Linked DNA regions of Rattus norvegicus. The protein of the gene in region 2 purifies or fractionates together with the protein of the main gene of each other region. This does not show direct contact. Links are inferred from orthologs where the notes say so. Each region holds a gene or a part of one and is shown on either strand. Other genes may lie near its edges.

Region 1 (4,285 bases), on a different chromosome or scaffold from region 2:
GACCGAAGCAAGATAGAAAACCAGTTGGGCAAACTCCAAAACCCATGTCTCCAGGTCCAATGCCAGAGCATCCTTCAGATCTCTAGCTCCTTTCACCCTTGTTGAGTGCTGTTGGCCCATGTGGCCCTCAATGGCAGCACACTTCATTCTCTTGGGCTGGTTCCACTGTTAGCAGCTTTTCTCAGCAGGTAACTGAGAAAAGGACTCTGGCATCTCTAACAGCTTGGGGTCTCCAAGGCAACTTCAACTTTACAGCTTCTTATTCCAATGTATGGGGTCCACAGAACATCTTCTGGGCTCCTCCAAAGGGCTCGGGTCACCTCTCCAGCTCTGCCCTCCGTAGCACTCTAGGCTCTGGTTGACTCCACTCCCCTGCTGCTGCTGTTCCTGGTGACCAGCCCATGGTACTGGCATCTCCAATATACTGGAGTCTTCCATAGCAACTAGGCTTCACCAATAGCCTCTCATAGGCTCTCCTCATGGTCTCAAGCCTCAACTACTTTGGATGACTTCCTCAGTCCTGGGCCATCAACTGTAACTGCATCTTCACCAATGGCCTTCCTTGGCTCTCACAGTGCCAAGCCTCAGCTGCTCTTCATGACCCCTTCACGTCTTCAAAACCAGTAGTACCCTGGATGACTCTTACACATTATTAAGTACAGCTTCTTTGTGCTCTCAGAAAACACTTCCCAGAAGATTTCACCTCAGTGATTCTGGTCTCTTCTTAATCCCTACTAATTTCTTAGCTCCAGATAAGAAGCATCAATTGTCCCAGTAACCCCTTCTATTCTTGACTCTAAAGTTAAGGCCATGTGGTAAAGCTGTTGAATTCTGCTGCCTGCTGGGGCTGGCCGCCCTTTATTCTATTACCAGCTTTCTGTTTTTCAACTCCCTCACTGCCTACCCTTGACTGTCCTGCAATTTGCTCAGTAGATTGACCTTGAACTCAGAGATCTGTATAGCTTTGTCTCCTGAGACTAAAAAATGTTAGCACCATGTCCTGGGCTCTGCAAGGAGGTATCAGGAGGAGGTAATGCTGAACCGAAAAACAGGTCTAAAGGTGTAGTTAAGTGGGGCTTTATGGCAACGGGTCTAATGGGAGAAGAATTCTTCAAAATGACAGGCCAAACAGAAAACAAAACGAAGGCAGGGGTTCGGGGTGTAGGGGTTAGGGGGGTTGCTGGGGTTACAGAGGAACCGGCCAGGGTCGGGAGGGGAGTTCAGCAAATGATGTAGAATGGCTTACCTGTCTCCGGCGTCGCAGCCTCAGCTCTGTGTCTGGCAAGCTCACAGAACTTCCTCCGGAGCGCCTGCGGCTCCAGGGATCCCTCGAAACTCTAAAGCAGGGCGCCCAGGACGCTGCCATAGCAACGGCGTACCGTGCCATCGTGCACGCGGGGCGGGGCTGGAAGTGAGACACGGCGAGGGGGCGGGGCCGGAAGTGCCTCCGCGGCTTTTCTCTGGGTCGTCGCCATCTTGCCATTGAGTTGGAGACTTCGTGTGGTGAGCTTAACCTTGTCGCCGTACCGGTTGTCCACACCGAGGCGGACTGGCAGCCCTGAGCGTCGCAGTCATGCAGGCCGGACCCGTGCAGGCGGTACCCCCGCCGCCGCCAGTAGTCACTGAGCCCAAACAGGTACCGTGCCCCGTGCTCCTCCGCCTGCAGTCCTGTTGTAGGCCTCGTTCCTCCACTCCCGCGCGGGCGCTGTGGCACTTCTGCTGGAAGCACAGGCCACCCTGAAGGACTTGGTGGGACTGCAAGTCCCAGGAGTCAGCGCGCCGCGTTGCCTTCTGGTCTCAAAAAGATTTCCCTAAACCGGACTTTTCAAAACTAGCCTGCGGACTTGAGCCTCGGCTTCCCCTGGGGGCTTATTTGAACCACGAAACCTCCATTCTAAGGAGGAGAGCCAAGAAAGCCATTCTTTTCCCTAGATTAGGAATGGTTGTATAAATACCGTATGGTTAAGAAAGCTTGCTTTGTTTTTAACTGCTTCCCAATGCTAGCTTCTTGGATGCTAACCCAAGAGAGTCTGCAGTCTGCAGGACACAGTCCTGTCAGTGGTATCATGGAGAAACGCTGAGGGCTGGTGTAGTTTTTATGATCTCCTAATCCAAGCCAGGGACTTGAAGACCTTACTCCCTTTTTCTGTTTTCACAGCCAAATGAAGAAGAAGCATCATCAAAGGAGGATTCCACCCCTTCCAAGCCAGTGGTGGGGATTATTTACCCTCCTCCAGAGGTCAGGAATATCGTCGACAAGACCGCCAGTTTTGTGGCCAGGTAACAGCTGCTGCTGCACAGTGGGTCAGGGGAATTGTAGTATAAAGGGCTTTTGAATCGGGCACCATGGGGTGTTTTAGAGGCTCTAGCTTAGGCTTCCAAAACCACAGTAGAGCAGTGAGGTAGGCGATAGACAGGACTGGTATCATTGACATACCATGATAGTAATCACAGTGAAAGCCCCATCTAGCTGTATATTTCTGCTTCCAAAACAAATCTGAGGAATTCCTGGTAGCACCTTTGTGACTGATACTGTGTGTATGCTGTGTGTTTGAGCTGCTGGCCTGAGGAAATGAGTTGATTTTTCTCATTGTGAAAGGGCTACTTTCCACAGAGACTCAAATGATCGGTTACAGATGAGCTAAGAGCAAGCTGTTAAAACTGGTCAGGATTTCTCTCAGCCTCTTCATCCCACACACTTCTACATCCTTGGATGCTATTTTCTGAGGACCACTTGACTCCCAACGGTCAACACGTCCCCTGACTTAGGGCATTTATAGAGAGAGAGTATTCTTTTGGCAACCAGCATCGATATCCAGTCTGCAGAGTTTGGTTTGTCCTTAGAATCCTTAAAAAAGAAAAATCCTATTGCCACACTTAAAAATGAGGTGATCTCACCAGCAGTCTGGATTTCTGTCTTTTCTTGAACCAGACTGCAATGTTTGGTTCCAAACTTCCTAATAAAGTGAAGCACCTCTCTAATAAAGATTCCGATTGATATATTTTCCCATCACTGGACAGGCTTTAATTACCTTGGATTTTCACTTAAAAGATGCCCTAAGATAGGGCATTGAGTGTTGTGTGTGATTGGCTAGTATTTCACAGCAACCCTTTTCCTAATAATAATGCATAAGGAATAAGTGCAGTCTTACTGTGAGGGCAACTCCTGCCCGCTGTTGTCACCGTTCACCGTTCATTAGTCCTTTGCCCTTGGCACCCGTTTTTAAATACGGTAATAACACAAGTACTGTCATGTCCCCATTCTCTTTGCATGCTAAACTGTAAACATTTCCTAATTACCTTTTCCTCCTGCTGTATGCTTTCTATGGCGAGGGTGCAGGGTGTCCAGGCTGTCTTCTCTTTGAGACTGTTTCCAGTGTTTCCACTTGGTCAGTGAAGCTGTACGAGGAGTTTGAACATTACCTTTCCCTCTTAGATAGTTTCTTTAGAAGAAAACTGAAACAATAGTGATTAGGAGAACATGGAAAGCTTCAGGGGTTGGGGAGACAGCTTAGTTCATTCAAGTTCCTGTCACAAGAGTAAACAAGAGCTTGAGTTTGGATCCCATGGTGTATAACCCACAGATACCCATGTTAAAGCAAGATTGAGCAATGGTTACATCTGGTAACCTCAGTACTGGAGAATAGAGACTGACAGATTCCTGGAGCTCAGTGGCCAGCAAATTGCTGTGCTTCATATTAACTAAGGTGGGGCCAGTGTATTCATGTATTCTGAAGGCAGGAGCAGGTTGATCTCTGTGCGTTTCGGGCCACCCTAGTCTACACAGCATTCTGATGAGCCAGGGATGCATGGACCCTATCTAAAATAAATAGGTAGATAAATCTAAATAAGGCAGGAAGTGATTGGGGAAGACAATGGACATGAGTATCTGGCCTCTGGGTATGGGTGCACATAAGTGTGCACTTAGAAACATCTCAGTTTCCCAAGTAGCTTTCTGATAATTGTGTCATCCTTTGCCTCCACAGCAAAAAAAAAAAAAAAAAGACTGACCAAGTTCTCTTAAAAATAAATACTTGTTACTGGACATAGTGATACATACCTGTAATCTTGGTGCTAGCAAGGAATGTTAGAGAGACTAGCCTGGCTACATGGTGGGCTCTATTTTAATGAAGGGAAATGGGAGCTGGAGAAGTGGCTCAGAAGTTAAGACCACTTTCTGCTCCTACATAGGACCTGAGTTTGGCTCCCAGGACCCATGTCAGGTAACTCACAGCTACAGAGTCTGAATACCTGCATGCATGCCCTTTAATATGCACTCGTGCAC
Region 2 (3,514 bases):
ACAATGAATTTACAAGTATTTATCAAGCATCTAAACAAGTGGTAGAGGGAGAGGACAGGGAAGCCATGCAGCCAGCCCCCAAATCTAGACTCCATGGAAGAAAAGAACAGCAGAGAGGACTGGAGGGCTGGCTCTTCTCCACAGCAGCACCAGGAGCTCTGCGTAGCACATGTACTAAGACAAGCACACGATGTTCTGAGCGACAAGAGTACCATTGTTCACAAACATACTTTGAACAGTGAGTCACACTATATATAAACACCTTTACACTTACCAGCCTCTCTTTTCTTAGACTTCACTTTAGGTTCGACATCCACAAGTAGTGTATCTAGAGGTAAACTGTCTGGTAGAATAAAATACCGAATGTTATTGCCTCGAATACTCAATGTTTCCAACTGTACAGGCTCTCTGTTCTTCAGGGTCATTTTCACAGCTTTAAGGTGCGTATTCATGCTGACATCTACACCTAAAGGGGGGAAGCAGAACAATTACCAGCATGATAAGAAGGCAATCTACCTTGTGGAAATAACACCCTAGGGAGTTCTTTTTTTTTTTTTTTTGGTTCTTTTTTTCGGAGCTGGGGACCGAACCCAGGGCCTTGCACTTCCTAGGTAAGCGCTCTACCACTGAGCTAAATCCCCAGCCCCCACCCTAGGGAGTTCTTAACTGCTGTGTCACAGGTCAGTTCCTGTGACAACTGAATACACGCACAATGGGGGAAATGCCAAATACACGCACAGTGGGGGAAATGTCAAAAGAAATCAGTAATGTTCCCTTCACAACGACTTTTCCTAGCCATAATGCTTCTGTACAGAGCTGAGTGCACGTACAGAACTGAACGCACTGGTGGTGTGATTAAGTGACTCCTGTAATCTCATCATTCAAGAGGCTGAGGCACAAGGAATGCACGTGTTCAAGGAAAGCCTGGACAACAAAGAAAGAACCTATGTGCAGACAAAGGAGACGAGCTCAGCAAGCTATGAAGAGCCATGAGCCCACTACCTTCAGAACTCAATTCTTATCCCAGGATTGGATAGTGTTTGCAGTAAAATCCTCCCATTGTCCCCATAACTTCCTACCCTCTAGCATGCCACAGGTCTTTCTTCTTAAAGACCTATGGTATTTTTCCCATCACAGGTAATTTTCCCTATCACTAGGAACTCTTCCCCCACTTTCCTGAGACAAAGTCTATGTGCCCCAGCTGGTCTCATACTTGTAATTCTCCTGCCCAAGTCTCTCAAGTGCTTGCTCTACAGGTACTCACCATCATACGCAACTTAACACACCTATTTAGTTACTTACAATGACTTTTCAGGGGCCAGAGACACGACTCAATGGTAAGTGTGCAAGGCTCTTACAGAGAACCAAGTTTCTCTTGGAACTTGGAATCAGGAGGCTCAGAACTAATTGCCCGTAACTCCAGCTCCAGAGAGACCCAGTACCTCTGGCCTCCAAGGCCCCTGCACTCACATACATACAGAGTTCTAAAACAGTCTTAGGACAATGTATTAGTATGAGTATGGTTATATGGGAAGGCAAGTGTCTGTGCGCTATGGTGCACGTCTAGAGATCAGGAACCACAACAATCAGTGTGTGCTATGGTGCTATGGTCTAGAGATCAGGAACCACAAGATCAGTCCACTCTTTCGTCTGTGTAGATCCTGAGGCATGGACTTGGCTGTCAGGCTCGGCAGCAGATGCCTGTACCAAACAGCTGAGCTGACACTCCCCCTATCTTGTTTTCTGAGACGGAGTCTCTCAGAACTTGAATTACAGGACTAGAAGTACCCAGCTTTGGGGAGCTGGGGTCTGAACTCAGGCTCTCAAGCTTGTATAGTGAGCACTTCCCAACTAGATCATTTGTCTGGGTCCTTGTTATGTCTTTCTAAGTGGAAAGGATTTGTTTTTGTGGTGCCATGGACTGAATCCAGGACCTCAAGCATTCTAGGCAACTGCTCTATCACCTTGTAATACGCCCTTAACTGAGCCTGTCTGTATATTTGTTTTTTTCTGTTAGACAGGCTGTTACTATGTAGACCAGAGTTGCCTCAAACTAAGGGTTCCGCTCCAGCCTTCTAAGTATTGGCATTACAAGTATGAGCCAATGCCAGGCTCACCTTACTGCTCTTTTCTCTAAAAATTCACTACTACAAATCCTTTCTTTGCTAGGCAGGAGTGAAGCAGCAGAGGTAGGTCAATCTTACCGAGTCAAGGCCATCCTGCTCTACAAACCATGTTCCAGGACAAACAGCTATACTGAAAATCTGTAACAAACAAACAGAACCCCCCCCCCAAAAAAAAACACCCAATAACAAATGCTTTCTTCTTTTTCTCCGAAGAAGGAAGTTCTCTTCTTTCCTAGATAGTCTTAATACATTCCATCTCCTCTATATGCTTATGTGTATACATTCATATAAGATACAGAAACGTATGTTAGTGGTTTGTTTTGCTTTTGTATTACAGTTTTCATTGTTAGATTTTGACAAGAAAAGGGGGGGGCGCAAACATGCCACTCTGGGGTTCGGGAATATAGCTCAGCTGGTAGTATACTTTCTTAGCATACATGAAGCCCTGGTTCCAATCCCTATTACTAAATAAAGAGGTGTGGTGGGCATGTCTGTAATACCAGCAGCCAAGAGCTAGAGGCACAAAACCAGAAGGCATCTTCAAATATACACAGTGAGTTTGAGGTACATTCTAGAATACATAAACCCTACATCTAAATAAGGAGAACGAGGGAGGAGGAGGAGGAAGAAAGAGGAGGAGAGGACAAGATCTTTCCCAATGCTGTTCTACAGAAAACAGACCAAATCCATCCTCAAGAAACTTTAAGGAGGGCAGCAACTGTATACGTCCTTAGATATGCAGACTGCGCACATCTAGAAACATAAACAGGCAGCTCCATTCACAATTAGCATTGAAAACTCCTAGAAAAGCCACAAAATGCCATCCCATTTTCTCCTGGTTTACTAAAACATTGGACCTACCTATTAAAAACTTAGACATCTACAAGCTCAGTATTTTAGAGAATAGAAACACATGTTAAGATACTATTTTTCCCCCTTCAATAACCACTTAAAAGAAAGTTTTAGGAGAAAATAATAAAGGATGAACAATGATAAAAATCAGTTCATATACACAGAAATACCATAGTAAAATATCATATATAATTAACATAGGCCAACAACAACTTACAGTCAAACATGAAACACAAAAGCACAAGTCTCAGATGTGTTTTGGAGGAAGCAACATTCTATGCAGAACACATGCAAGCAAAAGGTACACAAGGCAAGAAAACAGGAGCAGCACCAGCAATTTGGTTTAGTTGTAGTGCAAGAATGTAAGAGGAGGGGGTTGGGGATTTAGCTCAGTGTTAGAGCGCTTGCCTAGCAAGCGCAAGGCCCTGGGTTCAGTCCCCAGCTCCGAGAAAAAAAAAAAAAAAAAAAAAGAATGTAAGAGGAGTCAGGCTGGAGAGAGGGCTCAGCAGGTAAGAGCACTGGCTGCTCTTCCAAAG
Region 3 (3,514 bases), on a different chromosome or scaffold from region 2:
TTTTTAGAGACAGGATCTCTCAGACCAGCCTCAAACTCACTTTGTAACTGAAGACCATTTGACTTTTGACCCTCTTGCCCCTGCTTTCCAAGTACTTGATTAGAGGCGGACATCAAAAGAAGCACTTGGTTTTAGCATCATTGGTGGGAAGGAGAACAGTTGACAATCAAAGCAGTGCAAAATATTTAAGCTTTTTCCCTCTCACAGTTCCTGGAGGGTCAGATGGTCCAAGTGGAGTGCTGATCTGCTCTGAGAATTATATCACCTACAAGAACTTTGGTGACCAGCCAGACATCCGATGTCCAATTCCCAGGAGACGGGTAAAGTCTACCATAGAGCAACAGCTGACTAGGGAATGAATTAGCTTGTTTGTTTGCTCTTAATGATCCACCATAGTATCTTCCTCTCTCTTCTATTTATTACTCTGTGTGCATGTATGCCATGGTTCGTGTATGGAGGTCGGAGGAGAAGCTGCAGGAGTCAGTTTGTCCTTCCATCATGAGGGACTCCGTTTGAACTCAGGTTGACAAGCGTACTACCTGCTGCACCATCTCACCAGCTTAGTCTCTTAAATTTGTCTGTTGCCATGTTTTGGTTATGTAAAAAGATAAGTTGCTTTTCTAAAACTGGGTATGTTTTAAAGGGGAAATTATTAATTAATACTTTGGAGTGCAGGGCTTTGTGCACTCTACATATTAAGCAAGTTATCACTTTATTAAGGTCATGTCATTGTGCGGGTACAGACTTAGGATTTTTTTTTTTTTATAGATCGTAAATATTCTTCCCTTTCTGGTCTGTTCATTATGTGGATACAGTACCAGTCTTATTACTGAGTCAGTTCTTACATTTTTCCTCCCTCAACTTACATATTTTTAATATTGGTTCTGGGTCAAACCTTATAGGTTAAGCGATAAAATTTAATCTTGTGAAAAAACATTGAAATCGGCCTGTTGATCAGACATTTCCTAAGCCAGGAATTTGTATTCGTTTGGGAGCAGTGAAAAGGTATAAAACTTATGAGTTTGTATGCAGAAATATTTTTTAAAATCTTGAAAACATTTAACAACTCCAAGCACTAGACTTATTTGTAGGGGAGTGGGAACTTGGTACTACACAGGCTGGTGGTGATGGATGGTTTCCATGGCAGTGTGGATGAGTGTGCTTTTTGTTTTTAAATTATTATGTCCAGCCTGAAATGATGACTATTTAATTCGTGTCTCTTCTCTGACATTCTCCTCTGGAGATGATTTTTGCCTTGCTGATCTGATGAGGCTGCAGAGTGGAATATTAGCAGTTTCTTGGTCACGGGGTGGGGTGGGCAAGCTTTAGTTGTTAACAGCTATGGTGGGCAATGTTTGCATCTTAGTCCTTGAGTAGTCTGTAGAGTTCCTTTTTGTAAAAGATGAATTCCAGAATACTGAGTTGCTTATTTCTAAGATGTTGGCTCTGTTTCTGGTTTTGCCAGAATGACCTGGATGACCCTGAAAGAGGAATGATTTTTGTTTGCTCTGCCACCCATAAGACCAAGTCCATGTTCTTCTTTTTGGCCCAAACGGAGCAGGGAGATATCTTTAAGATCACTTTGGAGACAGATGAAGATATGGTAAATAGAACATGGATGGAGGGGGAGTATCTATTTGCTGTAGTCTATCTTGATTTTTAATTTGAATATAATTTAAAACCTTTGTCTAAAGTACCTGCTGTTTGTGCATGTAAGATTTACAAAGCTGTTTTACTTTTTTTGTTACTGTTTTTGCTTTTTTGAGATGGGATTTGCCTTGCCAGTCATAGCTCTGTAGACTAGGCTCACTTAGAACTCAGAATGTGCTTGTCCCTGCCTCTTGAGTGCTGGGGTTAAAGTGTGTGCCACCACTACCTGGCTCTCAAAGCTGCTTAACATCTATACTTCATAACTTTTCCCTGCACCAAGATAGGGAGCAAGTGCAACTGATTCTCAACAAGTCAGAAGGAGGTCTTCCTTTTCAGAAGAGGAACTGGAGGGGGGTGAATCTGGGGGAGATGGGCTGGGAAAAGCCGGGAGAAGTGAAGGAGGGGAAACTGGTTGGGATGTATGGTGTGAGACCAGAATCTACTTTGAGTAAAAGAGGGAAAAATTTAGAAATTTAGATACATTAGAAAGTGGTTACCTTTTGGTTTGAATTTGAATTTGGGTTTTCTCATTCTGGCTAACAAGTATCTGACCTTGTAAAGCCACTTAAGATGTTTAGTTTTTCTCTGCTGTGTATTCTCAGTCCAAAGTAACTGACATTGAAGCAGAAAAAGCAGTAGCTATGTTTAACCCCTCAGGCTGGCTGCACTGTCCTTTGTTCACTTGTGGTGCACAGAGCAGGCTTCTGTGGCTAAGCTGCACCTGCCTATACACCGTCCTTCTGTTCCAGGTAACTGAGATCCGCCTCAAGTATTTTGATACTGTTCCTGTTGCTGCTGCTATGTGTGTGCTTAAAACAGGCTTCCTTTTTGTGGCATCAGAATTTGGAAATCAGTAAGTAATCCTTTTTTTATTTGTTTATTTATTCATTCATTTATTTATTTATTTTAGCTTACCACTATAACCCCTAGGTTACCACACATAGTAAAAGTTAGCAGACAGGAGGTGTTGGGGACCTTTTCATAGAATAGTTGAGGTTTTTCAGAAGTGTTGCTCTCGTTTTCCCTTTTTATTCATTCTCCCTATCCCTTTTCTTCTACTGCATTATCTTTTTTGTGGGTTTTTAGAGTTGTTTAAAATTACATTTTCTATGTATGTATACTGAGTGCATGTACATGCCCCACATATATGTAGAAGGTCAGGCGAGGCATCTAGAACTGGAGTTCCAGTGTTTGTGAGCTGTCAAGGTAGGGATGCTGGGAACCAAACTCAGGTCCTCAGCAAGAGCAGCAAGTGCTTTTAAAATACCACCCCAAGTCCTTCCTCCAACCCCGTTTTTGTGTTAATTTTCATTGTTAGCTTCCTTTACTGTAGTGAATTCCATTACTATCCTGAATGTCTGTAAGTATGGGCTGAGGCAGGAAGATCTCAAGTATGGGACCAGCTTGGGCTGCATAGTGAGGTGATTTTCTAACGAAAAGTAAAGCCAGAGAGATTTTTTTCTACATGTGCTCTCTTGTACAGACCTACAGTTGAAGTTTCTTCGTATCCACATTGCCTGCCTGTATCGCCAGTGTGCCTTGCTCAATATTTTTGTTTAATGGGCCTCTTCTAGTGACTTGTGGAGTCTGAGTTTATTTTTCCTCTACTCCTTTTAGTCAAGTGTACAAGTTCTAGTTTTTCTTACTACACTGTTTCCAGTCTAAATTTAATTTGCTTTGCTTTCCTGCAAAATCCAGTCTTTATAAAGAGTCAAACTTAACAAGATGGGACATTACCTTATTGATAATGTAGTTATTATGTTAGTGACATTATTTCCTGTATCTCAGTATTAACAAACTTTGATGGATTTTCATTGCCATACAGAAGAAATCTGAACTCTAATGAGCAGTTTAAGACCAGTAT

What was found. Proteins that work in one complex are often made in the same cells at the same time.
Region 1: the proteins of Snrpd1 (region 2) and Sf3a1 fractionate together in Homo sapiens (co-fractionation; 4 studies listed by BioGRID and IntAct, with this or other methods). This does not show direct contact. The link is inferred for Rattus norvegicus from reciprocal best matches to the Homo sapiens genes SNRPD1 and SF3A1.
Region 3: the proteins of Snrpd1 (region 2) and Sf3b3 fractionate together in Homo sapiens (co-fractionation; 4 studies listed by BioGRID and IntAct, with this or other methods). This does not show direct contact. The link is inferred for Rattus norvegicus from reciprocal best matches to the Homo sapiens genes SNRPD1 and SF3B3.

Annotation. Positions count from the first base shown.
Region 1 is NC_086032.1:83,253,530-83,257,814, forward strand, and holds the start of Sf3a1 (splicing factor 3A subunit 1), read left to right. Parts: upstream 1-1,483; 5' UTR 1,484-1,573; coding exon 1,574-1,636; intron 1,637-2,158; coding exon 2,159-2,280; intron 2,281-4,285. Other genes in the region: Ccdc157 (coiled-coil domain-containing protein 157), read right to left, coding at 1,247-1,483. UniProt on the Homo sapiens protein: Component of the 17S U2 SnRNP complex of the spliceosome, a large ribonucleoprotein complex that removes introns from transcribed pre-mRNAs.
Region 2 is NC_086036.1:1,972,663-1,976,176, reverse strand, and holds part of Snrpd1 (small nuclear ribonucleoprotein Sm D1), read right to left. Parts: intron 467-3,514; coding exon 275-466; intron 1-274. UniProt on the Homo sapiens protein: Plays a role in pre-mRNA splicing as a core component of the spliceosomal U1, U2, U4 and U5 small nuclear ribonucleoproteins (snRNPs), the building blocks of the spliceosome.
Region 3 is NC_086037.1:55,719,620-55,723,133, reverse strand, and holds part of Sf3b3 (splicing factor 3B subunit 3), read left to right. Parts: intron 1-207; coding exon 208-320; intron 321-1,186; exon of another isoform or gene 1,187-1,275; intron 1,276-1,465; coding exon 1,466-1,603; intron 1,604-2,399; coding exon 2,400-2,503; intron 2,504-3,514. UniProt on the Homo sapiens protein: Component of the 17S U2 SnRNP complex of the spliceosome, a large ribonucleoprotein complex that removes introns from transcribed pre-mRNAs.